Tamandua tetradactyla: one gene and its partners. The main gene of each other region encodes a partner of the protein of the gene in region 3 in a complex. Links are inferred from orthologs where the notes say so. Each region holds a gene or a part of one and is shown on either strand. Other genes may lie near its edges. The genes, in order: HTR6, olfactory receptor 51E2, guanine nucleotide-binding protein G(s) subunit alpha isoforms XLas and SCTR.

Region 1 (7,719 bases), on a different chromosome or scaffold from region 3:
CCTATAACTTCTCTAATTAAAGAAACACTAAGCTTAGCTCGGTGCCTGGCACATAGTGAGCGCTCAAGGTCAGCCAGCTGCAGCTGTCAGGAGCTGGGAGACTCCCGCCCAGGTGCCGAAGCCACGGCCTCAGGTTCACTCCTGATATCAGCCTCTCCTCAGACGTGAGAGTCCCGCCCCCCCACCCCGACCCTGACCTCAGCAGGACCAGCCAATGTCTCTCTAGCAGGTCACTAGAGCAAAGTTCCCCAAAGCGTAAGAATGTGAGGTGAGTTTAGGCGGACGGACACCCCATAAAAAAGCTCTGCACCTCAAAGCGAGAGCATTGTCCCTTTGCAGTGCTCTCCCAGCACCCCTGGTTACATGGAGGAGGAGGTCTCACGTTGATGCCACCATGTCTTTAGCACCCTTGAACGCTTAAGCAAAGAGAAGGGAGGCCTTGGCTCAGAGCAGCAGCCATCCCAGGCTAAACTTTAGGGGTGCTGCCTGGGCCCCTTCTTGAGTTAAGCTTGTGAACATCTTCAATTTATGGCAAGGGATGCTGATTTTCCATTTCTGGAAGAGACGAGAAGGGGTTTTCATTTCCCCCCTAAACAAATTTATGAAAATAAAAAAATGAGTGGGATGATTTAAAGAAGATGTTAAATAAATGTGAGTTCCAGTGGCTTCGGGGTGGAAGAAAGGGGGTGTGGGGATGTGGGGAGTAAGGCAGATCTCCTGAGGCAGTTCCCGGATGCCTGAAATCTGGAAAATGCTCCTTTAAAAGAATCCAGGGAGAGAATGTGGGTGACCAGGGGCAGTCACCCCACCACTGAAGAGCCACATCAAGGCCACAGCCGCCTGCCGAGGCTCAGGAAGGTTCTCCAGCGAGCCCAGGGAGGTGGACAGTAGGACCCCGGCCACCCGGGCCCTGCCCTCCTAGTTGACTGGCCACCTGCAGCTCTGGGCTGCGCTGCTGTTGGACGAGCCTCTCTAGAGGACAGCCAAGGAGGGTGCTAACCTTTCAACCACTTCAAGGCTCACCCTTGGGCCAAGTCCCTAGCTACCAAGTGACATCCCCCATCAAAGCACTCCCACCCTCCCAGAGCCTCCTCAGCCTGAGGCTCCATCACCATGAGCTTGCAGGGTCTGGTCGAGACCTCCCTTGGGGCCTGTGACCTAATCCGCTGGGGTTCGAGCCCAGTCTGTTGTGTCAATCGCCTTCCCTCCAGATGATGACAGGACTTAGGTGCATGTTGCCTACGGTGGCAAGAGCAGCCACTCCACTCCTAGACGCGGCGGGATCTGAGCTAAGAGCACTGGCCCCATTCACAAGCAACCACTGAGCACCCACCATGCACAGTGGGGACTCGAACCTACTGATATGCCCTGCCCTCCTGGAGCTCCCACTCAGGTGGGAGAGGCGGACAACAAACATATCAGCAAATAAACTGAGACTAACGGGATGGGGGAGGGCAGATGGCTCTGCAGCCAAGTAGGCCAGGGACAATCGCTCAGAAGAGGTGATGCAAAAGCTGAGGAGGAGCCAGGCAAGGGCAGCCCCGGGGGAAGAGCACTCCAGGCAGTGGGAACAGCAAGTGCAAAGACCCTGAGGCCAAAGCAAGCCTGGGGCCGTCTAGGAGCCATCAGAAGAGCTGCCAGCCTGGCACAGAGTAAGACAGAGGAGGGAAGAGAGGAAGCTGGAAAGGTTGATGGACCAGGTCATGAGATGGCTTTCCTTTCTTCTTGAGAGCAATGGGGAGCCACTGAAGGGTTGGGAGCAGTGAGTGAGGTGATCACTTTTTTTTTTTTAATTGTTCTGACTCCTGTGCAGAATAGAGAGTAGTGGGTCAGGACTGGAAGCAGGAGGAGCAGGTGGGAGTCTACCAAAGGCTCCCAGGTAAGAAATGACAGTGGCCTGGTTTAGGAAGGCAGCAGAGGAGATGGGGAGAAGTGCAGAATTCCGTCCTGCACATATTTAGGAAGCAGCTCCAAGAGGCCCTGGAGAGAAATTATTCCTAAGTTTCCAGCTTGCGATGCCACAAGGTGCCATTTGCCAAGATGGAATGGAAGACTGGAGGAGGAGCAGGTGGGAGAGCTGAGACGCTCTGAATTCTCTGCGGCACAATTTGTCTTCCCTAAGCACGCCCCAAAACCCGGGGGTGGGGGGGGAGTTCTGTGAGGCGGACAGTGGGGCCCTGAGGCTGGAGTTCAGCGGAAAGGAGGGAACTGGAATTGGTCCTTTAGAGGGCATATTAAGTGATGGGTGCCCAGTGGGTGCTCGAGGCCGCTCATTCCCTCCCCGGGCACCCCAGTACCTGAAGCGTCTCCAAGGCCTGGCTGGGCAGGCCTGCGGCGAGGGAGGCCACCTGCACCGCCTGCCTACGCGCGGTCAGCAGGATCCGGCAGTAGGTGAAGCAGATGGCGCCCGAGGGCAGGAAGAAGGTGAGGCCGGATGCCACGAGCACGAAGGGCAGGCTGGCCAGCAGGCGGCACTGGCCCGGGGCGGGGGCCCGCGCGCGGCCCGGCTCGTGCCAGCCCAGGAGCAGCGGCAGGAAGGAGGCGAGCGCCGCGAGGCTCCAGGCGCCCAGGACGAGCGCCAGGGCGCGCGGGGGCGTCATGCGCAGCTTGTAGCGCAGCGGCGACAGGATGAGCAGATAGCGGTCCAGGCTGATGAGGCAGAGGTTGAGGATCGACGCGCTGCAGCACATCACGTCGAAGGCGGCCCAGAGCAGGCAGAGGCTGCGCGCCAGCACCCAGCGCCCGTACAGGACGTTCAGCATGGCGGGCGGCATCACCACCAGCCCCACCATCAGGTCCGACGTGAAGAGCGACACCAGGAAGAAGTTGGACGTGTTGCGCAGCGCCGGCTGCGTGCAGATGAGCGCGATGAGCAGCGCGTTGGCCGCAGCCGTCAGCGCGATGACAACGCACAGCGCGGCCGCCACCCAGCTGCTGCCCCCCGGGCCCGACGGCGGCCCCGACCCCCAGTCCGGGGTGCTGTTGTGGGCAGGGCCTGGCTCTGGGACCATGGAGACCGGAGATGGAGAACGAGGACGTGAGGCCCGAGAGGGGAACCGAGGACGTGGTTGTGTGAACGAGAAGACAGGGTGAGGGGTCGCCGCTGAGGAGCAGAGACCCTTGGAAGAGCGGAGGGCGGGTGGGCGCCGTCGGATGAGAAAGGAACCCCCTACAGGGAGGGGGCCGGCGGGAAGGTGCGGGCGGGGCCGCCAAGCTAAGCAGCCACGACCCGAGGAGGTGGGGGGGGGGGGTGCACACCGTCGGGGGTGGGGCAGGGACACCTGGAGCAAACGGAAAGGAACTCGGGGGAGAACGTGTGCGCCTGATGGACCAGAGTCGCCTACTGGGAGCGGACCCCAAGTTTGAAGGACGGGGGCGCCAGATGATGACTCTGGGAGGTTGGATGGCCGCCCTCGCGCGAAAGCAGAGCCCCCTAGAGGGGGCGGGCGGTAAGATGGGGCGAGGGCGCCTGGTGCTGGAGCAGAGACCAGGGAAGGTGGGAGCCGGGGCCGGGGAGGGGGGGGGGGTCTCCTGCAGGAGGTAAGCTCCCTGGAGTCAGGCGGGCTGTGGGGGCGCTAGGATCTGGAGCGTAGAGCTTGGGGTCCCAGGGTGGGGAAGGCCGGACTCAGAGCCCCCGCAGAGGCAGTCCTGGGGAGGGAGGACTCAGGCGGGCCCCGCGGGGAGAGGAGGAGCAGCTGCCGCGCCTCCGCTCCCTCCCCACCCAGCCGTGGGGTCGCGGGCCCGGCTCTCCCGCCTGCGCTCGGTACCTGGGGCGCTCGGCGCTGCTCCGCTGCTGGCGACTGCGGCAGGCGCCAGAGGGCTGCGAGAGGAAGAGGCGGCCGCGGGCCGAGGAGGCGGCGGGCCGGGGACTCCCTAAGCCCGGAGGCGCCACGAAGGGCCCGCACCCGCGGAGGAGCCGGTGGGGACCGGCAGGAGCGCAGGGTCCCCGCGCTGCGGAGCGAGTGTTCCGCCCCGCGGTGGGCGGGGAGAGCCCGAGCTCCAGCCTCCTAAGGCAGGCGGGGTCCCGGGTACCCCTGGCCCGTGGAGGGAAGATCCGGGCACCCCAATCACGCGGGGTTCGCCTCCCAGCCTGTGGCAGTCTCCTCACCCCCGCACACCCTTCCCAACGCACGCGTGGCGGGCGCGCAGTCGGAACTCCGAGGAGGGAGCCGCGGCCCGCCTTCAGCCAGGGTCAGCTCCTCAGGGGAGGGGTTTGCCCACCCGCAGCGGTGATCTCCGCGCTGACCGCGAGGCCAAGATTTGGGAGATATTGGACAGATCACCCGCCACTCTTCAGTTGCCATATCTGTAAAATGGGTTCATCATTCCTGGGCTAATTTGAGCAGGCAGGCTTCAAGCTGCGGGTGGCTCCCTCCCCAGGAGCTTGCCAGCAGAAAACTTCCTGTCCCGTAAATGCCCAACCAATTCCCTAGGGATGAAGGAAGTCCCTAACCTGGGGGCGCTCGCACTCTAACACTTGGCCCAGGACAGGAGTTACTGCGGGGTGGGGGGCGGGGTCGCGCCCCCTGGGCGTGACCCCCAGCGTCTCTCTCCCTGCTGGCTGTGCACAGCAATAGGACAGAGTTCATTCCCTTATCCCCTGAGCCCCTAGTAGGTGTCAGGCACTGCTCCAGCCAATTGCCACACTCCAGTGAACAAGAAGATCTCCCTTTGTGGAGTTTAACTTCCAGTGAAAGGAGACAGACAATAACCAAGGAGACAATGAATAAGTGAATTGCATAAGGTGATCATTGCTATGGGAAAAAGTGTAGAGCTTTTTCCCATAGCAACGATCTATGGGGACCTGGGGGGAGGGGGTCTTCCTCCCACGTGTAGAGATCCTGCTACCTCCCAGGGGCTTTATTATATTATTCCCACCCCACCAATAACGCTGAGAGGTAGATGTTAAACTGAGGCTGAAAGGGGCTAAAACTATCCCTGGTCCCCTATCCCTGCCTAGGACACAGCAGCAAGTGGTCAAGCTGACCTGAAACTCAAGTCCACCAAATGTACAGTGCAGAGAGAGAGCTTTGCAAATGGTCGTTACCTCCAGGTAGAAAGTTCAAGGCCCTGCCACACCTTACCCAGCTCTACACCACAGATTGGCAAGAAGGGGGTCCACCCGGGGGGGGGGGGGGGGAAGGAGGCCTGTTCTCCCAGCACCACACCGCCAGGCCTCGATGGTGGCTGCCATGCCCCAAGGAGCACAGTGCAGTCCACCAAGTACTGGGCTGAAAGTCAGGAAGCCCGGGCTTGGGATCCCAGCTCTGCCACCTCCCAGCCATGTGGGCCTCTGTTTTGTCCCATGCAACAGCGAGCAGAGCAACGCAGCACCCACTGGGGTAATCTGTCATTTTCACGGTGCGCTCCGTGTTTGGGACTCAATGGTCCCATAGGGTGAGTTCAGCCCTGTGGTCACTCCTTCAGCCCAGGGATTCCTGGTGTGAGAAACATCAAGCCTGAGAGGGGATGTGTTGGCTGGGATTAAGAGCCCAGTTGGCCTGAATTCAAACCTCAATTCTGCTTTTTGCTATGCAAGCCTAGCAAAGTCTCTTAAATCCTCTACAGCAGTAGAGATGTGAGTGGAATATTTAAAATATTTAGAGCAGAGGAGGTGCCAGGTAAATTTTAGCTTTATAAAATTTAGTACATAATTGGAAAGAAGATGAGTCCCTCTGCTATAGCTTTTTCAGTAATGTTTTATGTCTTTTATCTTTAAAAAGACCTAAAAAAAAAAAAAAAAGAAAGAAACTTAACATTTAGCAAGTATTGGTAATAGATGCAAAGGTGTTTGTTATATGTGATTTGTACTTTGCTTTAATTTTAAAAATAATATTTTTCAAGATACCTGACACAATAGTGGTGCCACCTTCTGGCCATTGTGATTTCTTGAAATCTCTCCTCTACAGCACTCCAGACTTTTTCAGAAGCTCCGCGGATGCTTCTAAGTTTATCGCTTTACTCATGAAGTAATAAAACTCAAAAATTCCTTAATATCTCAGAATAGGGAGGGACATCTCAGGAGAGAGAGGCTTGATTACTTCTTCCACGGGGAGCTTCCCCTCTGGAGGAGACAGCTGGTGCCACAATGGGCCAGATGAGCCTCCATCCTCTGCCACAGACCTCCAGCCCATTAGTACATAGAAGAAGGGAGATGGAGAAACTGAGTTCTGCAGAGGGCATCAGGTGTGCCCAAGGCGGCTCTCACAGAGAGAATAGACCAAACTGGGTGAACTCTGTGAGAGCAGGGGCTTTGGTCTCTTTTGTCACTGCTGTATTCCTGGTGGCGAGAGCAGTGCCTGGCACCTAGTAGGTCCTCAATAAACATCTGTTCAGTGAATGACTGAGTGGATAAATAAACAACACGAACAACCCTAGCCCAGCTACCAGCAGTTGTGGGCCAGTCTCATCGATAATAATAGTAGCTGGCGTCCCGAGCACTCTATGTGCCTTGACCCATGTCATGCTGGGAGCCTGGGAGTGAGGTTTGTGTGATCAACAGTCCCCATCGCACAGATGGGGAAACTGAGAGTCACAGATCTTCAGCAATTTGCTCAAGATTGTACAAGTAAATCGTGAAGCCAGGCGTTGAACCCAGGCAGACTGGGTTTTCCCAGAGGCTTGTAGCAGGGGAAGAAAACTAGTTGGGCGTTGGCTCGCAGGAAGGCCGGTGCAAATTGCCTGACCATCCGAAGAGGGGCCTACATTGACAGTACTGTGTGTCAGTATTAACCCCTTGGGAAGATTTTAAGGCCATCCACTCTTGTTGGCAGGGGTGGGGGTGGCGCACATGTTTTTCTTGTGGGTTCTTTTGGTGGTTCAGCTTAAGCTTAGCCAAGACAAAAACTGGAAGACACTATCCCCACACCCTACACCCACCCACAAGCTTGCACAGCTACCTAGCTGGGCTTCTCTAGTCTTTGTGGCCTCTTGGCTCTTAAATCTGGCTCCTGCCTTTCCCTGGGGTGTTCATCCAATCAGTAGCACCCCTCCCGCGTGGTCCCACCTCCCCGACCCCACTGCCTCCACCTAACTCCGGCCCACTGCAGTCCTCCCTGCTGGTCTCCAGACTCCCCCTCCTCTTCTCTCCCATCTTAGTCTTAATTAAATATCTCTGCTCGGACACCTCCAAGAATCCTCACTGCAAAAAGAATGATGTCAACTCTGGCTAGCATTCCAGGCCCACCACCAGCGGTGCTAACTCACCTTCCTGCTGTATTCCCAGTATGCCTCTTATTAATCTCCTTTATATATCTATGAACTTATACTCTAAGTAGAAGTCAACTATGGCTAGCATTCCAGGCCCACCACCAACAGTGCCAACTCACCTTCCTTCTATTCCCAGTATGCCTCTTATTAATTTCCTTTGTCTATCTACAAACTTATATCCTAAGTATAAGTTCATAGCATATGCAGAGTGGAGCAGCCCCTCCCAAGACTGATCTTACCACCAAGACAGTGCTCCAGTCTAAACCCAGGAAGCCTCTGAGGCCCAGTGCCAAGGACACGTCCCCAGGATACCCTTCCTTTGCACCTGATCTCCAAGTCCTTGGAAGCCCTGCAGCACTTTCTCTGGCCCCCGAGTTAGCCCTCACCTCCAGCTCAAGAGTGCTTATCATTATGGCCAAGGCTTGACCCTAGCAGGCAGGGGGTCACTTAAACCTGCATGCAGACGGTAAACTTGTCTCCAGCCCAATTCCACATGGTGGGTGGCAGGGC
Region 2 (6,972 bases), on a different chromosome or scaffold from region 3:
CTTGATAATCTGACTATGCTTTTATAGTGGGCGGTTGGGTATAATTTGTTGTAATCTAATGAAGAGGGAGATGGAAGAGGGTTAAATTTGTTGAGGGAAATATAAGGGAGTTCAATCTCATAGAATCCCCAATGATTTATCCACCCAAATTTCCCGCCCAAGACTTGTTCCGTGAAATTACAGAGGGAACACATCGACCCAATAATTGGAGTGAGATTTCATCTGCTCATCAAATTGCTCAACAACAAAAGGGGAATAGCCTACTTTGAGATACGAAGCATTTAACAAACATATATCTTGTCAGGACTCCTATTCAGGTGAAGAAAGACCTGGGAAACTCTCACATCTCCAAATTTGAGATTATAGGGTTCTATAAATGTAATAGCAATTGGCATAACACCTTGCAAAATTCAAAATAAAAATTTTATTGTATCTTGAACCTAAATTCAAACTCAGACAATATCAAGTGTCATACATTCAAAGTACTGGATGGATACAGGATGTACTAAAAAAAGGGAAGGCATGATAAAGAGATGTAGGAGACAAATTTCCAAAAATCTGGAAAAAAAAAAGCTGTTAGATCATGAAAGGTGGCTGTAAAATATGAAAAGTAATCTGGATTTGCTGTTGACAATAAGGGCAAGGTTATCTCTTATCACAAGCAAAGCCATACATCTTAGTACACAGCAAAGTGTAAATAAGATTTGCAAAGGCTGAGGAAGTAAATGGCAGATGTTAAACAGGAAGCAATAGAACAAGGTAGTTAAGACTTCTGGCCCTGCTCTTAAAAAATTTAATTTCAATTTTTGGCACAGAACCTAGGAATTGTATGACTTAGTTGCATCACCTTGCTAAGGTAAGCCTCATTTCTCCTGTTGTTATAAGGGGACAAAAATGGCACATACTCCATAAAATTGCTGTAAAGACCACATGAAACCTGTAAAACAGTTAACATTGCACCTGGAACACTGAAAAGCACTCAAGAAATGTTAATTAGCATTATGATTAAAGGCTTAGGTAAATTCCCAAGTAATGTCAACAGTGAGGACTGCATCTGTCCCTGGCACCCATAAATTATGAGTTTCATTTTCCCCACTTTCAAAGTTGTTTAGTAGTACATGTCAGCTGAACAAGAACTCCATAATAAAAAAAAAAATAGAAAGTAGCACATTTCTTTCAAGGCATGGGTTGTTTTTCAAATTTGTTTCAATCATGTACCCTCATTGTTTTGCTTAACATCATAAGCATGTTTGTTGCGATAACAGAGTCTTCCATCGATTATTAAAGGCCACATGATATTCCATTATGTAGATGGGCCATACTTTTGTTTACTGTTCCTTATTTTTATATATTATACCCAGTTTTTCTAATATATTACTCCAAATAATGCTGTAACTAGTATATTTTATTAATTTTTTCCCTGTATTTAGGGCTATTTTGTGAGGATTAATTTTCAAAAGTGAGATATCAGCTCTAAAGGATATAACTCTTTTTAAACACTAAAGGATATCACTCCATTAAGAAAAAAATCTTGCTACATATTGACAAATTACTTTTCAAAGGTTTTGAATTTACACTATCGGTGGTGATTCTCAAGAATACCTGTTTCAACACAACCTCACTTTCATTGTGAATTTTCATTAATGAAAACTCTTAATTTGATAGGAGAAATGTCATCTGATTATTGATTTAATATAAGTTTTTTAGGTACTAATTAGACTGAATAATTTTTCCCATTTCAAAGCTAATTGTCACTCTACCTTGTGCTGCCTTACTATTTATTGATGAGTATTGTGGATTTCCTAATTTAATTTTTTATATAATAAAGAGACCAATTGCTTTTTTACTTATGCAAGGGGATCATTATAGCCTCTCAAACATACTGTGGTACCAGGAACAGAGACAGAATTTTAGAAAATAAGCACTGATGGGCAACCAGAACTAAGCTAACATTAGGTAATGATTATATCAAGCCATTAAGGATAAGAGGAAGTGGTGTGGGTGGGTCAACTGCTTCCCACAGTCTGAAGGTCCTTGTCACAGCTGATCTTGAACATGGCCAGCATGCGTGTTCTGATCTCTTTGGTCTTGGCACCATAGATGATGGGATTGATCACAGGAGGCAAAAGCAGATAGATATCACCCATGAGAACATGTACAATGGGATCAAGGCTGTTTCCAAAACGGTGCGCCACTGAGAGGCCAATGAGTGGCACATAGAAGGCCAGAACCACACTGATGTGTGACACACAGGTCCCAAAGGCCTTGGCCCGCTCTGACTTGGAAGGTAGCTGAAGAACAGTTCGTATAATTAAAAAATAAGATAGGGAGATGAACATGACATCCACACCCATGACCAGCAGGATGGCGGTAAGACCGTAGACCACATTGGGCATAGTGTCTGTACGGGCCAAGTTCATCACATCCTGGTGCACACAATAGGAATATGAGAGCACATTAGAGTGGCAGAAGTTCAGTCGCTTGATGAGCAGAGGCAGTGGAAAAAAGAAGAGAGATCCACGGACCACGGCCACCATGCAAATCTGGGCTGTTACTGTGTTGTTGAGCACTGCAGCGTGGCGTAATGGGTGACAGATGGCCACATAACGGTCAAAGGCCATGGCCAGAAGGATGGTGGATTCAACAGCTGAGAGAGCATGAATAAAGAACATCTGGACAAGGCAGGCATCAAATGTAATCTCCCGGGAGTCAAACCAGAAGATGGCAAGAATCTTGGGCATGGTGGATGTAGACAAGGCCAGATCGATTACTGCCAGCATGCAGAGGAAAAGATACATGGGAGCGTGCAGACTGCGCTCAGTCCTTATGATGAAGACCACGATGCAGTTTCCAAATATTGCCATGACATACATTGAAAGCAGAGGAAAGCCCATCCAGAAATGGGCTTCTTCTAGTCCTGGAACACCAATAAGCACAAAGGTGGCATGTGTGAAGTTGCAAGAAGTCATAGTTGGCACTGAGGAGGCGGGTCTGGAGTGGGTGAGGTCACATTGGAGCCTGATGACCTGCTAGGACATGGAGCATAATCAGAGACCTAACCTGGAGACCTGGAGACGGAGGGCCTCTTAGTCCTCAGTCTTCCTTCCTAACCTCTCTTCTCTCCTTCTTCCCAAACTCTAGGACTCTCAGGTCTTTTATCCCCTTTTCTAAGGGATCGGGGAAGAAGGATAGCTCAAATACATTATCAATCACTACCCTCAAGGTTTATTTGAATTTTTAGAAGGGACTCAGAGGGAAACAATGCTGATCTAAAAAATGTGGCTTTGCCAAATTCCCTCAGACTCCTCACCCTGCCCACACCTTCACTGTATAGATACTGAATGGCTCTTTCCTCAGATAAGGTTTAAGAGATACCCCATTGGGAATCCCTTTCAGAAGTGGCTGTGTCTGTTCTTTCACTCATTTACCTTGTTTCATAAGCGTTTATTACATGACCTAACCTGTACAAGGTTGTCAGCTACATGCTGCTGATATGGACATGAAAGTCACTTCTCACCCAATAGATGCCCTGCATAGTGTGAGAGATAATCAGGTAGACAAAAAACCAAATTATTAGAGTATTTTGATGGACACTAGCATTAGGCTTGTGTTTATTGCATGGGAAGGGAGGGAACAATGATCAGAGGACCTTCCTGAAAAAGATGATGATTCTTCTGTTTAGTCTTGAAACATGAGTAGAAATTAGACAGGCAGAAGAGGGTATAAAGAGTGGTCCAAGGCAGTACAGGTAGGGTCTTTTTTTTTTTTTTTTTTTTTTGCTATTTTTCAGGATTCCAGTTCTAAGGTCAGTGGGGAGGAAAAGAAACAGACCAGTAACAATTAATGAATAAAACAAAAATCCTGAAAAGAAAACAAAAACTAAGAAAAAAGGTCAGAAGCAAATCTCTTCAGGGATAAAAGAAACTCATCTGGGGACATTAAGTAAAAGGTAGTAGCTCCCTTAGATGATTTTCCCAGGGATGAGGGTATGGCAGGACACATGAGTCAAACAAATCCCACCTGCTTTACATTTCCTTTTGCTTCTGGCTGGTGAGATCCTCCACACATTAGCTGACTCTGAGGCCACTCTCATTTTCCTCAAGGAGATATCATGCTGAGACCCAATTTTGGGAGAGATATTATTGTATTTTACAATGATATTCCAGGGCCTTCGTCTTTCCTGGGACCTCTGCAGCAAGCCATTCACATTAGAGGAGACATTTTCTTCTTGGGAACGCAGTAGTGTTCCCCCCAACCTCTTTACACAAAGAATCTGACTTCATCCAATTCCTCTCCTACTAGGCTACTAAGTGCCCTGGTCTTTGGAGCTAATTATTTCTAAGGAGCCAAAGGCTTGAATGAGAGGAGCTGGGGCTTTGCTTCTTTGGAATAAACTCTGTAGGTCTCTTCGTAGTGATATTCAGGTTAATGTGTTCATCCCCCCAGGCTTGGTTTTCACTCTAATCTGGGTCCTAATTGCCTCCGGAAATTGCCCTTCCATCTGGCCTTAGTGGAGAGGGTTCAGACACCAGAGGTCTTAAAAATATAATACAATATAATAAAATGAGGATTAATATTTTGACTTGGATTCTCCCCATCTTTTATAAGCAAAGAAGGACAGATCCAGTGTTCAAAGGTCACAGAAGTCACACTTTTGACCCCTATGTGCTCTCTTCCTTCCTCAGAACTTGTTCAGAGACTGAATAGCTACCCTCCTTGACAAACTTTAAATCCCAAATTTGGCTTACAGCTGCTGTCAGAGAGTAAAAAGCCCTTTCCAGAGGCAGAGAATTACATTCTCCAGTGAGATGCAAAGCTTTCATCATAGATAGCTTGGGAGGGATGCTGCTGCAATTCAAACACGGCCTACTAGAAGTGTGTGGGATGGGGTTGAAGAACCTTCCATAGTGGGAGACCAGATCACAAAAGCGCTATGCCTATGAGGAATGGGGCTCAGGCCGAAGGAAAGGGCAGGCATGGGGAGAGGCATCAGGGCGGAGCACAGCTACATTCTTCCCCCTTCTCAAAACCCTGTCCCCATGATACTGCACATAATGTTGACAGATTCAAGAGTCCCTGTTGGCCACAGAGTTAGAAGCTTCCCTGAAAAGACTTCATGTCTCCTTCACAGGTTTGCTGTCCTTCTGCTTACTTTTTCCCCTGTCTAGATCCAATTTCAGCTTCTCTTTGCATCTATATGTGGCTGCTGCTTTATTCTCACCTGCCTTTCTGAACTGTCAGTTAAGGCTCTGGGACATTTTTTTTTTTACCTGTCCTTGGAGATATGGATGGGACAAGACCTCCCTGTACCAGGCAGTGTATGTGGTCTTCAAGTTCTTTTAGGCTGGCAGGAGCTTCAGATTGTCTGACTCCAGCTGAGGGTACACTTACCTAAGAATGATGCAGTCTGGCCATCTCATCCTTTCAGACACAGGCCTATTTATAATGCTGCTCAGCAGGCCCATGGGAGCAGGCTTTAGAGTATAGAAGCCCCAGGGGCTTGACAAACATGTACAGCATGTCTACTGTGTGCCACTCCCACAGGTTTCCCACTGTTCCTGCTTTGAGGAGCAATTGCAAAGGGCCCAGTGCCTCTACCACCATCCCTCCCACATGTAAACATACAGGGGTCCCAATGGTCTGTTTCCCTCAGTCCCCCACATCTTCTAAGCTAACCCCAGTTCCTACAGTCATTTCTTATGGGGTTAGTACCATTCTTCATTTGCTACCCTGCTAGGCCAAATGGCTAACAAAGGCATAGAGTTAAGGACCTTGGCCTTTAAGTGCTCACAGCATTTTATACACCAAGATGGTATGCAGAGGTATAACTTCATAATTCAGAATTGGATCATGCATGCATGAGAGGCATTTAGGGACAGATGATAGTAACTTCTCGGGTCTGCATCCTGACACTTCTCAGCATCACTTCTTAGCTTTGCCTTTGTAGTTGGGAAGCCACTCATCATTGTACCCATTACAGGTAAAGGCAGATGAGGTAAAGGCTCTCTGCCTTTGGTCACATAGATAACTAGCCATAATACTGATGGGAGAATCTGTGTTCTGCATCTTTGTTCATTTATCCATTCAACAAATATTTATTGTGGCCTTACTATATAATAAGCAAAACAGACATCAAAAATCTCTGCCTTCATGGAGATTACATTCTTATGAGGGGGACAGAATGAATGGAGTTAATATGTAAATAAAATAGGATGTTTAGGTAGTGATAAGGAGAAAAAATAAAAGGAAAAGGAAACTGATATGAAATGCCAGGGGAGCAACTGGAATTTTGGATGGAGTGCCCAAGGAAGATGTTATCTAAAGGAGATATTTGAGGAGAGGCCTGAAGGAATGAGGAATGCATCTATGGAATATCTATATGGAAGACCATTCCGGAAGAAGGAACAGACACCAAAAAATGTCCCTGAGATGTGACCACATCTGGTGGTTTAGAAAAACAAGGTGGCCGGTGTGCCTGAGCCAAGAGAACAGGGGGAGAATAGAAGAGAGATGGAATCAGAGAGGCAATGGGAAACCAGGCCATAGAAGACTTTGTAAGATTTAAGGAACGTAAAATGACTTTGGCTTGGACTCTGAGTGAGCTGGGAAGTTATTGGTGAGTTTTAAATAGTAGAGACATGATCTGACGTACCTACAGGGGTCCTGGGTTCTATTAAACTGGTCTTCCCTAACCACCTTATAGACTTATTTGCATTTCTGTGCAGTTGACCAAGCTTTTCTTTCTTCCATTTATTCCTTTCCCTGCCTTCTCCATGCCTCAAGCCTTTAAGACCTAGCTTTAAGCAATGCCTCCTTTAGGAAGTGCTCCAGGATTGTAATCTCTGAAAACAAGAAGAGAACAGTTTTCCTATCAACCACCACTGAATATTTAATGGGCACCTACATCCAGCAATGTAGTTAGTCCATTCATTCATTTGTGCAGTTAGCATATGGCTGGTTCTATGAGGGTAC
Region 3 (7,370 bases):
TAAAAGGCGGGAGGGTTTGGTGAACGAATAAGAAGTGAGGAAAACGTTTAGCGCAGAGGGAAAAAGAGAGAAACACACAGAAAAAAAGGTTATGGAGGCCGGTGTGCACCGGCCCCCTCACGCCAAGGCCCCTCAACCCAAGATGTCCAGCCACCTTCCCCTCTGTATTTTCGCGCTGCCCGCTGCAGAGCGCCAACGTACAGGTACCACCAGAGTGCGCGAACACGGAAAGTTTTTTTTACCGCGCCATAGCGCAAAACACAGAAAGCCACTTCTCCAGTACAAGTACACAGTCGGCGGGTAATTTGGGGTGCCGGGGTTGGGGTAACTGGGGATACTTGAGCTGATCATGCACAGGCAGACACAGGATACGGACACTAACACATACCAAACACAAGCTTTCCGAGTCCAAGCAGCCGTGCCAGGCGAGGCGGGGGCACACCTTTCCCGACGTCCCCAACCCACCGCGGCCCAAACCGTCCTCGCCTGGGGAGGCACCAGCCCCCTCCTCAGCGCTTCCTGGCTCACCTGAAGCCCTCGCCTGTTCTGCCGGCCCCCACCCCAAGGCTCCGGGGCAGCTTACTGTCGCTGGTGCCGGCTTGTCCAGCCCGAAACGACCCTCAATGTCGCTCTGCGCCACTTTTCTCCCTGGAGGGCACACACCTCGGCCCCCGGAGCCTGCCCGGGTACCCTCCCGCTCCCAGGGTAAAGTTAGGGTCCCTTGCAGGAACTTCCGAGCAGGCTTTTCCTGCCTTTGCCCGGACCCCCTCCTCCGGCCGCCAGGCCCCGAACCCCACTGGGCAGCCCTGCCACCCCCTCCCGGGCCCCACCGGCGGCTCTGCTCCTAGTGGGGAGCGTCCACCGCATTACCTAGAAGCAGCAGGCGGTGCGTGCACATGTACCCCATCTTCTCAGCCTGGAGTTGCTTGTCGATGAGTCTGCTGCGTTTCCTCTCGGCGCGCTTCTGAGCCCGTTTCTCGAGCGCTTCTTTGCGCATCTGTCTGCGCTTCTCTGCCAGTGAAACCTTCTTGACTTTGGGGGGCTTAGGAGCTTTGGGCTGGGGGCTGTCGGATCGCCCAAAGCAGCCTCCAAAGGCTTGGATGAGGAAGTTGCGGAGTAAGTTGCGCCGGGGCTTGCGGCGGCGGCGGCGGTTCTTCCGGGGCTGCCCCCAGCGGCGGCCTCCGGAGGTCCCCTCTCCTGGGTCGTCTTTGCTGGCAGAGGATTCATCGCTGCTGACGGACTCCTCGTCGTCGCTGCGGTCGGACCTGGGGCCCCGCCGGGAAGCCGAGCGACCAGGCTGCGGAGTAGGCGGGTCAGCAGCCTGGATCTCGGGGCTGGGGGGTCTAAGGCGCTGCATCTTGAGCCTGCTTGATGCCCGGGTAGGGACGTCGGCTCTGGTGACCCGGCCAGCAGGGGCGGCCCTGGCAGCAGGGGTGGCAGGGGCTGCAGAGACCGCGGCAGCGGTCCCGGTGGCAGGGGCTGTAGGGGCGGCAGCAGCGGCCCCGGCAGCGGGAGCGTCAGGGGTGGCAGCGGTGGCCCCGGCGTCAGGGGTGGCAGGGGCGTCAGGGGCTGCAGGGGCATCAGCGGCACACCCGGTGTCTGGAGTGTCTGGAGCTCGGTCCCCGGCATCAGGGGCTCCGTCCCTGGCGTCTGGGGCTCCATCCCCGGCGTCAAGGGCTCCATCCCCGGCGTCTGGGGCTCCATCCCCGGCGTCAGGGGCTCCGTCCCCGGCGTCAGGGGCTCCGTCCCCGGCGTCAGGGGCTCCGTCCCCAGCATCAGAGGCTCCGTCCCCGGCGTCAGAGGCTCCGTCCCGGGAGTCAGGGGCACCGTCCCTGGCATCAGGGGCTCCGTTCCCGAGAGAAGGTACTTTACCTCCCTCGGCGGGAGCAGTGGCTGAGCTTCCTTCCATCTCGGCTGCTTCACCCTCAACTGGGGGTCTCCCTGGCTCTGCTCGCTCTCTTTCAACTGGGGCTCGGGAGACCTCGATGGGCGGGCCGTCAAGCGCGATTGGGGGGCTGTCCATGTTGACGGGAGCGTCGTAGACCCCAATGGGGGCGCTGCCAATCTTGAGCTGGGGTCGGGCGATCTCCAGCGGGGGGCTGTCACCCGCGAAGTGAAGAGGAGGTCTGACAGCCTCTCGGACTGGACTGTCGATGGCGCCCGGGGCCCAGAGGGGGGGCGCGTTCTCGGCGGGAGTGAGGCGGACCGCGCTCGGGACCGCGACTGCTGAGACCTGGGCCCCGCGGTCGGTCTCTGGGAGGACTTGGGAGAGCCCAGAGGGTGGGCTGTCGTACCCAAAGCCTGCTCCCTCGAACCGAAATGACATAGCCTCTTCAGGGAGAGGGCTGGATCCTCCAAAGCCTGCGTCTGCAGACCTGGGGGGTCCAGGCTCCTCTGGGGGAGCGCTGGTGACCCCCAAACCTGGGCTGGCCGGAGAGAGGGCTCCGAGCTGCAAGGGAGGTGGACTGCAGCCTCCCTGCTTAAACTCAAAGGGCAGAGCTTCCTCTGGTGGAGGGCTGTAGCCTCCCAGGCCTGACTTGGCACCATCGAAGGCTTGGGGCTCCATTGCTGCTGGGCCAAAGGCCTCGAGGCTTGCACTGGCCCCTGCACGGGCCCCAGCGAAGGTTCTAGGTTGCTCCTGGGTAGGCCAGAGGCCTCCCACGCTGGGCTCCTCGGTCTGGAAGAGCTTGACTTCTTCGGGAGGTGGACTATGGCCTCCACAAGCTCCAGCTTCCTGGAAGGCCAGGCCGAGGCCCTGGGAACAGGGCTCGGAGACCTCAGGCGATCCAAAGGCCTCACCGCTAGTCTTGACCGGGATGGGCTCGCTGGTAGGCGGTTCGGTCTCCATCGCTTCGGCTGCGCCAGGCCCAGCACTGGGGGCAGCTGCCCCTGGGGCCTCCAAAGGTGGTTGGTTGGGCTGCTCCCCGAATTCAAGGGGGATATCGCGTTGTCCTGACATATGATTGCCGTCGAGGCGGTTGCGCAGGCCCATAACACGGTGGCGGCCTTTCAAGATAATTTGGGGGCCCCGTAAGACGGAGCACCCAACCAAACTAGGGTGAAAAAATTTTTTTGGAAAAAAAAAATCGAAGTACCAATTAGAAAGTTCTCCAACCTCACTGCTCAACCTGGGTGAAGTCTGGTAGTTCAACACTTCAGACCCTGGACCATAGCAGTAGCAACTCTACCGTTGCTGGTGGACTCTTGGTCCCTTCTTGGCCACTTTTTATCCCCTTAGCTGCCCCCTTGGCCCCCCCTTGTCCTTGTCCTTGTCCCTCCTCTCTCTCTCTCCCCCTCTGCTCCAGGCTAGCTCCGCCTGCTTGGATCTGAGGAGCGTGCCGATTCGGTCCGAAAATCGTCTGTAGTGCCCGCTCTCTGCCACCAGGGGACGCTGGCTCCTGGCACTCGCAACCCCGGACTTTGGGTAAGGGGCTGATGAGCGATGAGCGCAGGCCTCCGAGGGACGTTTTGGTTCCTTCCACTCCTCTCCCTGACGATTTGGAGGCTTTCTCCTCGCTTCATCCCTGGCCAGAGAGAAAGCTCTCCCTGCGTTGCGGGACACGTGACGCAAGACGTGGGTCCCGGGCAGGTTGAACGCAGGAGCTGAAACCCTGCCTCCCTGACCTAACCGACTCTACCCCCCAGGGAGGGGTTACTGCAGGAGGGTGTCTCACCTCAAGATACCTCTGAGCCGCAGCCCCCAGTCCCGGAAAGCCCCCGATCCCAAGCTCCAAGTTCCCGGCAGTTCCAAGTCCATAGCGCAAGGCTCTGGGAGCCCGGGAAGGGGGATGATAGCGCATGAGAATGCGACAGGTGGTCGTGAGCCCACCGGAAAGGTGGAGGGGAAGTGAGGGGCTGCCGAGTGCTTGCACATGATTGCTTTTAAATCGCCTTAGGGCACTTTCCATCTCTTCTGCAGTTTTCCTTTGCTGCTTGCCGAGGCTGGCTTCCGTGAAGCCCTTCAAAGTCCCCCATCCCCACCAAACTCTAGGGGTCTACGCAGTGGCCTAGAGCAGCGCGGGCAGGGGGTCTCTCCACGTTTTTGTATAGGGTGAGGCAGAGTGAATAAGAGGGTCTTGGGCGTGCACCACTGAATGCCAGGCAAAACCTCCCGGGAAAAGTCACGGCGGTGGCGGCGGCGGCGCGGCAGCCCAGAACCCGGGAGTGCGGGGCGCACATGGAGACCCCACAGAGTGGAGGCCTGGGAGTTCTGCAGTTCGCACCATTCTGGGGAAGAGACAAAGTGGATTTAGGTCCAGGTTTATGGCCGGCTTGGAATAGTCTCGGAGATTGGCACCTCTGAGCACGCTGAATCCAAAGGCACACACACAGTGCCGCGGCACCACGCGGCTCCAAGGCTCTAGCACCCGCGGCAAGTCCAACTAGTCCCCTGGCCCTTCCGCAGCGCCCTTTCAGCTCCTTTCTTCTTGCTAAGGGTGTCTCAGGGTTACCGCTTTACTTTCCCATTGCTAGAACACGCAGAAGCACCACTAAGCCCGGCCACAAGCCAGTGGTCGCCCGGCTGCGCTATTACCATAGCACAGGGTGGGCTCAGAGCCCACAGGGGTAAACACCCGTCGTGTCTGGGTGGACTCGGCGCGTGCTGTGTACCGCGCCGGGTCTGGGGATCTGCGGAGGGATCTGACCCAGGGGAAAACCTGCAACCCAGGAGAGAAAATCTCGCACGCGCGGGCAGCCTGCCCAGCGGGTAGCACAGACTGGCGAGCACTTTGGGAAGGGACAGGTGGTTGCTTGGTCTGCGGAACCATAGGGAAGGGATGGCCCGCTGATTGCCACATCGGGTGGGCTGCCGCTCGCAGGACGCACCGCCTGGATCTCGGGATCGCTATAACCACAAGCCGCTGCGGGCGAACCACAGCACGGTCCGATCTTAAGTTTAACGCGTCCTTCTTCCTCAGAAGGAGGGTACCACAGCTACCGAGCCCCGACCTCCCCCCCACCCACCGTGCAGGGGGCTGTTGTGGGGGAGGAACGCTGGTAAAGCTGAACTAACGTCTGGGGGTCCCTCCAAAGGCGCTTTGCCTCCTCCCTATGGGACTACATGCTTCCAAATGCCAACACTGAACTCTGGTTCAAACTTCGGCCAACTACCCGCACGCACCATAGCTCAGCCATTTGGGAACCTACTGAATGGGCCCACTGGGTCCCAATAGCCAACTCACTCCCCCTCCAACTCCAGCACCGGGTCAGCCATTGGGCTGGGGTCACGCCAATCAAGTCTTCCTGGCGAATGAGCAGGGGGCGTCCGACCGGAAACCGGATATGGGTGGGAGGTCCAATAGGGGGCGCCGCGTTGGAACGCCCAAAGAGGTGTTGGTAGGGTGGTTGGAAGCCGTTGGTGGGCGGGTGTATGGCCGCCAGGCCTGGGAGGCCACGAGGTCGGTTAACGCCGTGGGGTCACTCTGCCTGACACCACAAGTCACAAAGACTGGGTGGGGAGGCCAGGGGCTCCAAGGGGTCGACCCTTGGTCTCGCTGATGGCGGTTGGCGAACCTGCCTAACATAGGGGACCGCCGCTGGGGCGAGGTGAGGAGAAAGAAGATTTCCAGGGCCTGGAGGTAGAGATCCAGGACCCTGAGGAGAGGGCTTCCCGCCCCGATGCAGTTGTTGACCCCAGGAATGCTGAGACCTGCAAAAGTGGAAGGTCAGTAGACGCTGGGGTTGAGTCCCAGGGAGATCGCGCTGGGGACCCCAGAAGGAACCTTTGTTCACACCAGGCCTTGCGCTCAGCCCACCTCACTTCGGATGGTGCGAATTTGAGATCTCTTTCCCAAGGCATCCATCAAGGGATGGTTTTGGGGCCTCTTTGTGCAACGTTGTCTTGGGCCCGTGAGACCCCCTTTGTTCAACGTTCTTTTGGCTTATCTTGGTTATTTGACAGGGGAGCACATACATGGAGGGGATCAAGGCTGGGCAGATACCAGCCCCCCCCCAAAGGAAATAGCAGCATAAAAATGAAAGAAAGACTTCCACTTGGGATGGGGGGAGGGGGGGACCCGGGAAGGCTTGGTGTAGGAAGAAATGGCGTTTCAAATGGGCGTCAAGGATAGATGCCTTGGCTATGAATAGGTGGGGGGATGGGAGCCAGCTCACCGGGAACAAAAGATCCAGTGGTAGGAAGCATGGGGCATGACCTGGTAACAGAATAAGCCATCTGGGCTCTTGGAGGGGCAGAGGAAGAAAAGCAAGGAAAATAGAAGAATGTCTCTGAGGATGCTGTGGGCTAGGGCAAACACTTTTGAGGCTATTTTTGAAGGAAATAGAGAGGACATGGAAAGTTTTTTTTGTCCTGCAAGTTATGTTTTGAGCCATGTTTTAGGAAGGATTGAGGCAGCATGGAGGAGCCCTCAGGAAGAGAACAAAGGAATGGGTATGTGTGTGCACAAAGGAGGCCATGGCTGGCTGTGACCTTTTAGGGAGTGAGCCACACACAGTCAGGGGAGCAGGATCTCCTGAAATTCTGTGCTAGAAATGCACAAAAGCGGAGGGGGCCCAATGGCACTTGGCTGGCCAGCCATGAGTGAGATGGGGGAAGTGGGGAGGAGCCGGCATGGTGGCGGAGCCAATTTAGTTTTAGACACTGCAGAGTTGATGGGCAGTTTTGATGGAGGTTGTGACACACTAGGAGGATGGGTCTAAGTTTAAAAGAAGGCAAAGCCAATAAATTCAAATTGATAATTGTCCTTAGCAGGAGATGAAATCACTGGATCAGAAAATACTCTCAAGGGGAGAAATATACTTGGTGATAGAATCTTGGACAAAGCCAATATTTGGGCCACTGGAGAGGGCAGTGAGGGCTAAGGGGCAGGTGGGGGAACCCCAGAGGGAAGTTAGGAAGTGGTCAGCATATGAAATCTGCTGATACTCGGGGTTGGAATTCTTTTGTTGTGTGGGGACTATCCTATACAGTTAAAGATACTTAGTAGCATCCCTGGCCTCTACCCACTAGATGCCAGCAGCATCTTCTTAGTTGTAACAACCCCAAAATATCTCCAGATATTGCCAAACATCCTCTGGGGGGCAAAATTGCCCCCCATTAAGAACCACTGCTGCAGGATGAGAAAGGACAATGAGACTTGAGTAGGAATCACCTTCAGATTAAATTAGGACCAGGGAGAATAAATCCTAACACTTAAGAACCCTAATGTTTCCCTTTTTGTCCACTTTTATTTTTCTGTAGTGACTGGCTACTATAAGCTGAAAACCTCACATCACTTGGGCAAGTGGGGTTAAGAGTGAAACTCAACAACACATTGGCTGTGCGGCTTGAGGAGAGACCCCAGAAGCATGGCCAGATATTTGAGGAGCTGACTGATCAGAAAGGTAGCCTGAGGACTGGCTTGGGGATT
Region 4 (7,950 bases), on a different chromosome or scaffold from region 3:
CCTGTGTGTTAGAGATGGGGGAAGACAGACATGCCAGGAAATAATGAAACATTGTAGCATGACAATCTTTAAGGCTCATAAGATACATGGGGGTGGCAGATACATATGGAGATGTAGCCACTGCCTCCTATGAGAGGTGTGCCACTTAGAAGTATTATGTACCTCAGAAAAGCCACATTGTAATCCTGATTCAATCATGTGGGAGCAGCTGTTTCTTTTAATCCTGATTCAATATTGTAGGCTGCAAACTTTTGATTAGATCATCTTCATAGAGATGTGCCACACTCAATTGTTGGTGTAATCTTTGATTAGATGTAGGTGTGGTTCCACCCATTTCAGGTGGGTCTTGATTAGTTTACCAGACTCCTTTAAAAGGGGAAACATTTTGGAGAGAGTTAGAAATGACAGAGCAGACAGAAACTTCAGAGCAGAGCTGACAGGCAGAGAAGAGAGACACAGATGTTGGGAGATACTTGGAGCCCAGCAGATATTATCACGAGATGTTAAGCAAGCCAGGACCTGGAGAGAGCCGAGGGAAGCCAAGAGATGAAAGACAGCCCCAGAGAAGCAAAGTGAGGAACCCCCACAGGAACAAAGGCTGAAAGCAACGGAGCCCAGGCGCAAGGGACCAGCAGATGCCAGCACATGAACACAATGGACAGAGATATTCCTGACCCATCGGCCTTGAGTGACAGTAACCTCTTGTTGGTGCCTTAATTTGGACACCTTCACTTCCTTAGAACTGTAAACTTGTAACTTATTAAATTTCCCTTTTTAAAAGCTGCTCCAGTTCTGGGAAATTGCCTTCCGGCCACTTGCAAACTAACAGAGAAGACCCCAGAAAACTGTCTCAGCACCAATCACCACTTCTGGTTTCCACTTACAGGAACTCTACTGGCACCTCCTTCGAAGGAAAAGGAGGCAGGGGATTATAATAAGCATTTTGCCCTTAATGACTTGCCGTTCAGAGGACACAGATAAATCTCCCTCTTGGGAGATCCTATTTGAATTATTTAAATACACTTCAATTTCAAAATCAAATGTCTGACCCAGAGTCAAACAAACTGAAGGGTTTCAGAGGCTTGGAAATACTCCAGCCACCGTGGGTCAATTCCACACCTATTTATTGAAGGTGTTCTCTGCTGGGAAGTATGAGACACAATCTCGGGTCTGGAAAACTCTGTAAAATAACTGGAGTTCCAAGATTTACACATAGGAAGCCATCTCATAATGATACAAGGACATCCATGAGTGTTTGCAATGACGTGTAAAGCTGAGGCTATAATGACCAGCCCTGGGTAGTTGAGAATCAAGAGTTCTGGGTGCTAGTCCCAGGTCTACTACTAACTTGCCAATTTTGGGCAGGCGTCTCCTCTATGGGTCTCAGATTGTTCAGAATTGAATAGGAATATAATCAAGCATTCTTCCAGGGACACTGAAGAATACTTTACCCAAATGGTGGCTCTTATTTTCCCCTTTGCTATTCCTGACATAATCCTGAGCTATTCAGGAGATATTCTTAAAATGTAATGTAGGCTGAGCCCTAGTCCTATAGCCCAATTACCTGTTGATTTAAGACAAACACAGGGTTACTGCAAACACTCAAGAAGGAGGATGGGGGCGTCCCACAGAAGAGGCTACGACTTCTTCCAAACCTGGGCACTGAATGACATGCTTCCAGGTCATATTTAATTTCAAATTGTCCCAGATGTCCCAGGTGGCATTACCTCAGATTGGGGGTTCAGACTAATGGGTGGGTGCCATCTGACCACCACTCAGGATAGGAAGCTACAAAGTTATAAGGGAGCTGGGAGCTAGCCCCAAATTCCACACTTCCAAACTACTGCTGCTGGAAATTCACCGAGCTGCCTGAAAATTGGGCACCTCCTGAGTCAACACTGATATCCAGGTGGCGGGAGTGCGTGGGTGGGGGGACAGAGGTTGTTCTTACAATCAAACAGAAGAGAGTTATAGGAAAGCAAGGTGTTTGGATGTTAGCAAGAACTTGCCCAGGCCAAAGATTGAAGACTCAGAATTCGGTCCCCAAGCACTTTCCCTGGGAAGTTTCTTGGGACAGGGACTTTGGGGACCAGTTTGGAATAGTGGTGGGAATTTCCCAGACTCTTTGCAGCCCAGCAGTCTGGGTCTAGCCAAGCTTTCATTCACTAATTCCAGAGGGATTCCCAGGAGTCGCTGTGGGAAAGAAAAACAAAACACCACCACCCTGCCATCTTCTCCTTTCTCTTGCAAAGCCCCTCCCTGGATCTGGTCTGTGGGGAGCAGTTGCTCCCAGGAGACTCCAGACATTAGGAGACCAAATCCCACAAGAGAGAGGAGGGAGGGAGCCATAAGTGGTTCCATCACACACCTGGAAGGTACCGCCAGAGCTTTCTGAGGTTTCCCCATTTGCAGCCCGTTTTGGGAAAATTTTAAGGCTTTGGTGCAGACAAACGCAGGGTTCCTCTTTTCCTGAGTTAGGGCAAGATTTTTGCTCCTCTGAGCCTCAGTTTCCTTATCTGTAAAGTGAGGGCGGTAATATTCGCCTCGCAGGTGATTATGAGGTTTCAATGAAATGAGGGAGGCAAAGGGCTCAGCTCACAAAAGGTGCTGCCAGGGGCGGCTACAGAATGTCCATCCTAGGAGGGTCTCAGAGAGGCGCAGCCTGGAGGGAGGGCTGGGGTGAAGGGCACAGCGATTTGCCTTAGAGCTGCCCTTTCCTGGAGCGCAAGCCTTCTTTTCTTTTGGGGAAAAGGGCTATCAGGAGAGGAGTTAATAGAAATTATTGTTAACGGGCAGGGGGCGCTGGACAAAGGGACGCGTACTCACCGTGTGCAGGGCGCAGGGGAGCAGCAGCAGGAACAGCGGCATGCAGGGGCGCATGGTGGCCGGCGCGCTCCCCGGCGCTCCCCCGACGGCCGCCTGCCGGTGCACTCCGCCCGCCCGGGAGCTCAGCGCGCGGCTCAGGATCCGGAGCCGCCACCAGCCGCGGGGCCACGAGGAGCCATGGCTGGGCGGCCGGACCGCGGCGCTCTTTGGTGCTGCGCCGCCTCAGGCGAGGTGGCTGCGCGCTAAGCCGACCAGCTCTTTGATCAGGACGCGGCGCAGCCGCGCGCCTCCACCCAGCGATCTGGCGGGGGCCGTCGGGAGGGCGCAGAGGCTGGCAGGGAAGGAGGCGGAGGGACGGCGCCAGGGCCTGCAGCCGGTTCCCGCAGGTTCGTCCCCGGGGCGGGGGAGACCAAGAGGACACGCTGGCTTAGCTTTCGAGGCTGCAACACCAAGGAGAGCCCCGGAAATCCGGGAAGAGCCCTCTCCTGAGATTCCACGGACCTAAGTTCTGGGTCAACCCTGCCATGGCCTTGCTGGGTGCCCATGGGTAACTTGGGGCACCTTTTCTGAGCTGCAGAGCTCTCACCCCTAACAACACACCTACCTTCGAGTTGAAACAAGGTTGTAAACTAGTCAGTGCCTCTTACAGAGCGAGTGCTCGCTCGGTAAATGCCAGTTGCATATACTGCGGGGGGGGGGGGGGGGGGGGGGGGGCGGGGGCAGCTGCCTTACACTTTATTTTCGATTTTCACTTAATTTTCTTAAAGTCATGCATGCTCATTGCAGGAAGCTTCATTCCCGTGGGCACCACCACGTGAAGAAATCTTTGATGAAATCTGGCTAGGTGATCCAACGAGAACCATTTGGTACCCCAGGAATTTGGGAGCTGTTCTGCCAATAGGCAGCCTGGAAGCTTCATGCTTCCCAGCGCCCCAGGGAGGTTATTAAGCACCAGGCAGGTATTCCCAGTTGCCTCCTCAGCCAGCATCAGAGCACCCAGATGTCCTAGAGGTGGCTCTTCCCCTGCCAATACAAGGTACCCCAAATAGCTCTTGTAGACCCAGTTTCTTTCTCTGCACTGCTGCCCATTCCCTTTCTTCTCATCCACTGCCTATCTTGATCTCTCTTTCCAGGCACTTTAAGCCCCTGAGTTCACCTACTTCTCTAATTCTCCCCAATACCTCCTAGGTGGTATTAATTGATGAGAGAGAGCACAGAGGGTGGAGGAGGACAAGTGACACAGCCAGGTACTTGCGATTCAGAAGCTCAGACCAAATGCCTGGCTCTGCACTTCCATGGTTGATGCTAATTCCCCAAAACTGACCTCAGGTCAGACCACTAAGCAACCCCGAAAGTACTGTCATGCTTTAATCCTTAGCAGCCTCTGCTACCCTAAGAGACCACTGATAAATAAAGCGAGACTGGTAAATCACAGCAGAAAAAAAGAAAATGCTTTCAGCTCCCAGGTCCAAAATCAAAGTTCAGCACATAACAATCTAAAATATACAAAACCTCTGACTTACTTCCAGTTAGTACTTCCAGTACTTCTAAAGAAATGCTAAGGGACCTAAGGGAATATGTGAAAAGGTGTTGTTGGAAACACTATTAGGAAGCAGAAGACTGGAAGTAATGCACATGGAAGGAGAACACGTAGCCCCACCCTGATGTTTCCTTCCTCATGGAGAGGGACCATTAATACAATGCTCCTGACCTCTCTCTTCTTCCTTATGACCCCCCACACACACACCCACGCGTGTATACACACTCACAGGTGAGGCAAGCTCTACATGACTGATGCATTTGGGGTAAGGACCTGGCGTGCATAGCCCTTCCCCACCTCCTCTCCTTTCGCCCGCATACCTGCCCACCCACAGAAAACCTGTTACTCCCTGCCCAGGACCAGCTCTTCTGCCCCTGCATTGGTCAAGCACTACCAGTGGCAGGGTGGTGGTCTCTCTACTCCTGGGGTCCAGGGATAGAAAATCCATTTGCCCACAAGTTTAAACCATATTCTCCAAAACTGACTAATAAAAGTGATATTTGGCCCCATCTGTCTTAATCTTATTTCTCAATTGGCACAAGATTCAGGCTGGAAAGAAAAAGGTTACTTCCTGGACCTCCTGGAACCCCAACAGCCTAAATGTGTATCAAAAAGCGCACGGGGTTATGACTTGCACTTTTTACTGTATAGACTTCTGTGATGCTTGAATTTTTCTGTAACAATATGCATGGCTTTTTTGATTGAAAGAAATCAAGAGGAAACAACACAAGAATGCATCCTGCGCTTACACAGGATGTTCGGCAATGAGAAGACAATAACGACATTTGTTCCAGACAAGTCAATAAATTTCTGGCCTATGGCAAGCCATTTTTCCTTAGATGGGACTCTGCCTCTCAGAACATTGAGAAAAGGGTCTGAGGAGCTCCGAGAGATGCCCTTCTACAGGCCACGGATGCAATCAGTGCCTTCATAAAGACTGCCTGAGAAAACAGTTTCCTAATAGGGGTGGGAGGGAAGGGTTGGGGAGCTAATGACGTGTTTAACATTTGTCGTGCACTAGGCAGTGTTAGAAATGTGTGATGTACTATCATATCTAATTCTCCAGGACTAGGTGAGGGAGAATTCTTCTCCTTGATAAATAGGACAGACACTGCAGGCTTAGGAGGCACCAACATTTGTCCCCACTGACATGGCTAAACAAGAGGTGGAGCCAGGATTTGAACCCAAGACTGAGTCCAAAGCCTACCCGTACTCTGCACTATACTATGATCTGCACTATACCAGGATTCATCGCAGCCATGCAGATGACTTTTTAACTGTTGGAGCTTCCAAAACTCTTTTGCAGGCATCATCTCATTCGAGCCTCAAAACAACTCTGTGAGGTCAGTAAGACCAGCTGGCAGGGAGAACCTGGCGCTTGCTCAAAGGGTTGAATTGAAGAGAATTTCATGAAAGAGCTATGGGCAGAAGTGTGGGCAGAGCTAAGGGAGCAATGAGGGATGGTAAGGGGTTAGGGAAAAGCAATAGTGGGCCCAAAGGGGCAGGGATAGGGAACAGTATTCCTGGAAGCTGGCCTGGAAGAAGGGCCAACCATTGGAGCTTATCCATAGAGGAATGCAGACGCCGCCACACCTGTGGTTTGGCAAGGGGGCCAGGTGGTAGAATAAGTACCAGGACTTCTCTCTGCTCTTGTCCACTGAGCTCCTGGCAGTGTCTCCTATTAGCTGAACCCCATCAGAAGCCAGCCTGAGAGAAACTGTCCATAGAGCTAACCTTCTGGCTGGAGAAGGTAAGAAATGGATTGGGGAGGGGGTGATGCTAAGGAAGAGTAATCTCACTTCGTGATATCATCATACCCATTTAACAGATGAGGAAAACAGAGTTGATGAAGCTGTAACTCAAGATTACACAGCTAAGAGGTAGAATTGCTTGTACTTAAACTTGGTTTTTGATTTCCAACTGGAGCTGTTTCCATTGTGCTTATACCCATCTCACAGAAATCTAATGATATAAAATAACAGCAAATATTTATTATTATCGCACAGCTCTGGTGGGGCGGTGATGAGAGGGTGACTGGTGGTTCTTGCTGAGGTCTCTTGCAGGGTTGCTGTCAGACAGTGGCTGTAACTGGAATCCCCTGAAGACTTGTTCATTTACCTGTCTAGGCTGGGACCCCTGAGGCTCCCCAAGCATCTCTCCTGTCTCAATGTGCATCTTCAGAAAGGCTGGACTTCTCACATAGCAGTTCAGGGATCCAAAGATGACCCCAGGGGTCCAAAGGTTACCCCAGAGAGAGCCATGTGGAAGCTTGTTGCATTTTCTGACCTCGTCACAGAGGTCACACAGTGCTGCTTCTGCTGTATTCTGTTGCCAAGATGATCAAGAAGTCTGCCCAGGTTCAAGGTGAGAAGACATAGACTTAACCTCTTGATGGGAGAAAGAAAAGGTTCTGGAAGACCACAAATATGGTTATGGCCATTGTGGGGAAATACCATACGGTACATGCTCTAAACTTCATTATTTTAGTGAATGGACCCTAACTGTTATGTTCATTGTGGGAGGGGCAATCTTTGATCTAAATGGTTTCCCAGGTCTTGATTCTAATCTCTTTTGGCTTATCCCACTGCAGTTGCTGGTCCACTGGGATATGCAAGCTGAAGTCATGGCCATCCAAACGCTGAAAGTTCACCATATTCTCATAATAATAACTTAAAGGGTAATTTATCCTGAGGATGGGAGATCCCGCTTTTGGTTCTGGGATAAATTGTTCTTCAGTAGTTTCAATCCAGTGAGGCAATATATATTTGTATTTGTTCAATACAAATCTAAAAACCTTTAAATTAAAATTTTTTCATAGTGCCAAAAAGGAAAAGAGAACTCATCTCTCCTCCCTTTTTTTTCCAGCATTTCCTTTAGAAAATTTTTTATTATAAATCTTTTTTCTGTCTCTTTGAGGTATATGTAAATCTTTTTCAGAGCCAAATAAGTCTATTGCAAGTTTGACATCCCAGGAATGTCTTTCTTGGCACCATCTCCTTGAAATGTGGTTATCAAGGAAGGTGATTCACTGTCTCCCTGTGTCGTGGAAGTTTAGCTTAGCTACTTGGCTCCAGCTTACAACTTCCTGCTTGCCAAAAGGTCAGAGAAGTTTTATTTTTCCTTTGGATAAAGACAGTGAACATATATGTAATGGATTGTATCTGCCTGACTTTATAGAAGAGTGGGACTCTGCAGATTGCCTGTGATATGTATCATGGTCTGATTTAGTTCTTATTCAAAAATAAAACTGTTTCATTCTTTTCTACATTCTGTGGAAAGGATTCTTCAGGTTGTCAGAAGATTTTATTTTTAGCTATTTCGCCAACAAGAAATCATATAATTTTTTTCTTTGCATTTTTCCAACAGCAGCAAATCCTCATTTAAGAACGAATTGAATGCATTCACTTGATGACTATTTACTGAGCACCTACGCTGTGCCAGGTGCGGTGCTAGAAGGAAAGTCCCCTGCAATCTCAGTGGCATGCATAAAGCTGTAACGCTATCACTGCACTCCCCTGGGCCAGAAAGAGGATGGAGGCTGGTGTTCAAGATTGCAGAGGCTTGTATAACCATGCATTTAACAG

The links.
Region 1: the proteins of guanine nucleotide-binding protein G(s) subunit alpha isoforms XLas (region 3) and HTR6 are in contact, whole or in part, in a cryo-EM structure (PDB 7YS6), measured with the Homo sapiens proteins. The link is inferred for Tamandua tetradactyla from reciprocal best matches to the Homo sapiens genes GNAS and HTR6. Residues at the interface, in NP_000507.1 of Homo sapiens: Arg38, Ala39, His41, Asp215, Lys216, Val217, Phe219, Leu346, Thr350, Tyr358, Cys359, Phe376, Arg380, Asp381, Ile383, Gln384, Arg385, His387, Leu388, Arg389, Gln390, Tyr391, Glu392, Leu393, Leu394; in NP_000862.1 of Homo sapiens: Arg124, Leu127, Ile128, Pro131, Leu132, Arg133, Lys135, Leu136, Ile211, Gln218, Gln221, Val222, Leu225, Thr226, Lys265, Ala266, Thr269, Leu270, Phe323, Met324, Arg325, Asp326, Lys328.
Region 2: the proteins of guanine nucleotide-binding protein G(s) subunit alpha isoforms XLas (region 3) and olfactory receptor 51E2 are in contact, whole or in part, in a cryo-EM structure (PDB 8F76), measured with the Homo sapiens proteins. The link is inferred for Tamandua tetradactyla from reciprocal best matches to the Homo sapiens genes GNAS and OR51E2. Residues at the interface, in NP_000507.1 of Homo sapiens: Gln31, Gln35, Arg38, His41, Asp215, Val217, Phe219, Tyr358, Phe376, Cys379, Arg380, Ile383, Gln384, Arg385, His387, Leu388, Arg389, Gln390, Tyr391, Glu392, Leu393, Leu394; in NP_110401.1 of Homo sapiens: Met58, Tyr59, Asp120, Arg121, Ala124, Ile125, Cys126, His127, Pro128, Leu129, Arg130, His131, Ala132, Leu135, Asn136, Asn137, Ile220, Thr223, Val224, Leu227, Pro228, Ser229, Glu232, Lys235, Ala236, Thr239, Cys240, Lys294, Thr295, Lys296.
Region 4: the proteins of guanine nucleotide-binding protein G(s) subunit alpha isoforms XLas (region 3) and SCTR are in contact, whole or in part, in a cryo-EM structure (PDB 6WZG), measured with the Homo sapiens proteins. The link is inferred for Tamandua tetradactyla from reciprocal best matches to the Homo sapiens genes GNAS and SCTR. Residues at the interface, in NP_000507.1 of Homo sapiens: Gln35, His41, Val217, Phe219, Thr350, Tyr358, Phe376, Cys379, Arg380, Asp381, Ile383, Gln384, Arg385, His387, Leu388, Gln390, Tyr391, Glu392, Leu393, Leu394; in NP_002971.2 of Homo sapiens: Arg174, His178, Tyr239, Leu240, Leu243, Leu244, Ala245, Ser247, Phe248, Ser250, Glu251, Arg252, Leu320, Lys323, Thr326, Gln327, Thr329, Arg339, Arg342, Ser343, Leu347, Tyr388, Leu391, Asn392, Gly393.

What each region holds. Positions count from the first base shown.
Region 1 is NC_135328.1:206,667,479-206,675,197, forward strand, and holds the start of HTR6 (5-hydroxytryptamine receptor 6), read right to left. Parts: upstream 3,012-7,719; coding exon 2,298-3,011; intron 1-2,297. UniProt on the Homo sapiens protein: G-protein coupled receptor for 5-hydroxytryptamine (serotonin), a biogenic hormone that functions as a neurotransmitter, a hormone and a mitogen. Also has a high affinity for tricyclic psychotropic drugs.
Region 2 is NC_135334.1:75,774,976-75,781,947, forward strand, and holds olfactory receptor 51E2, read right to left. Parts: upstream 3,005-6,972; 5' UTR 2,970-3,004; coding exon 2,007-2,969; 3' UTR 477-2,006; downstream 1-476. UniProt on the Homo sapiens protein: Olfactory receptor. Activated by the odorant, beta-ionone, a synthetic terpenoid. The activity of this receptor is probably mediated by G-proteins leading to the elevation of intracellular Ca(2+), cAMP and activation of the protein kinases PKA and MAPK3/MAPK1.
Region 3 is NC_135327.1:26,449,903-26,457,272, forward strand, and holds the start of guanine nucleotide-binding protein G(s) subunit alpha isoforms XLas, read right to left. Parts: upstream 3,008-7,370; 5' UTR 2,993-3,007; coding exon 871-2,992; intron 1-870. UniProt on the Homo sapiens protein: Guanine nucleotide-binding proteins (G proteins) function as transducers in numerous signaling pathways controlled by G protein-coupled receptors (GPCRs).
Region 4 is NC_135329.1:95,985,077-95,993,026, forward strand, and holds the start of SCTR (secretin receptor), read right to left. Parts: upstream 3,012-7,950; 5' UTR 2,881-3,011; coding exon 2,827-2,880; intron 1-2,826.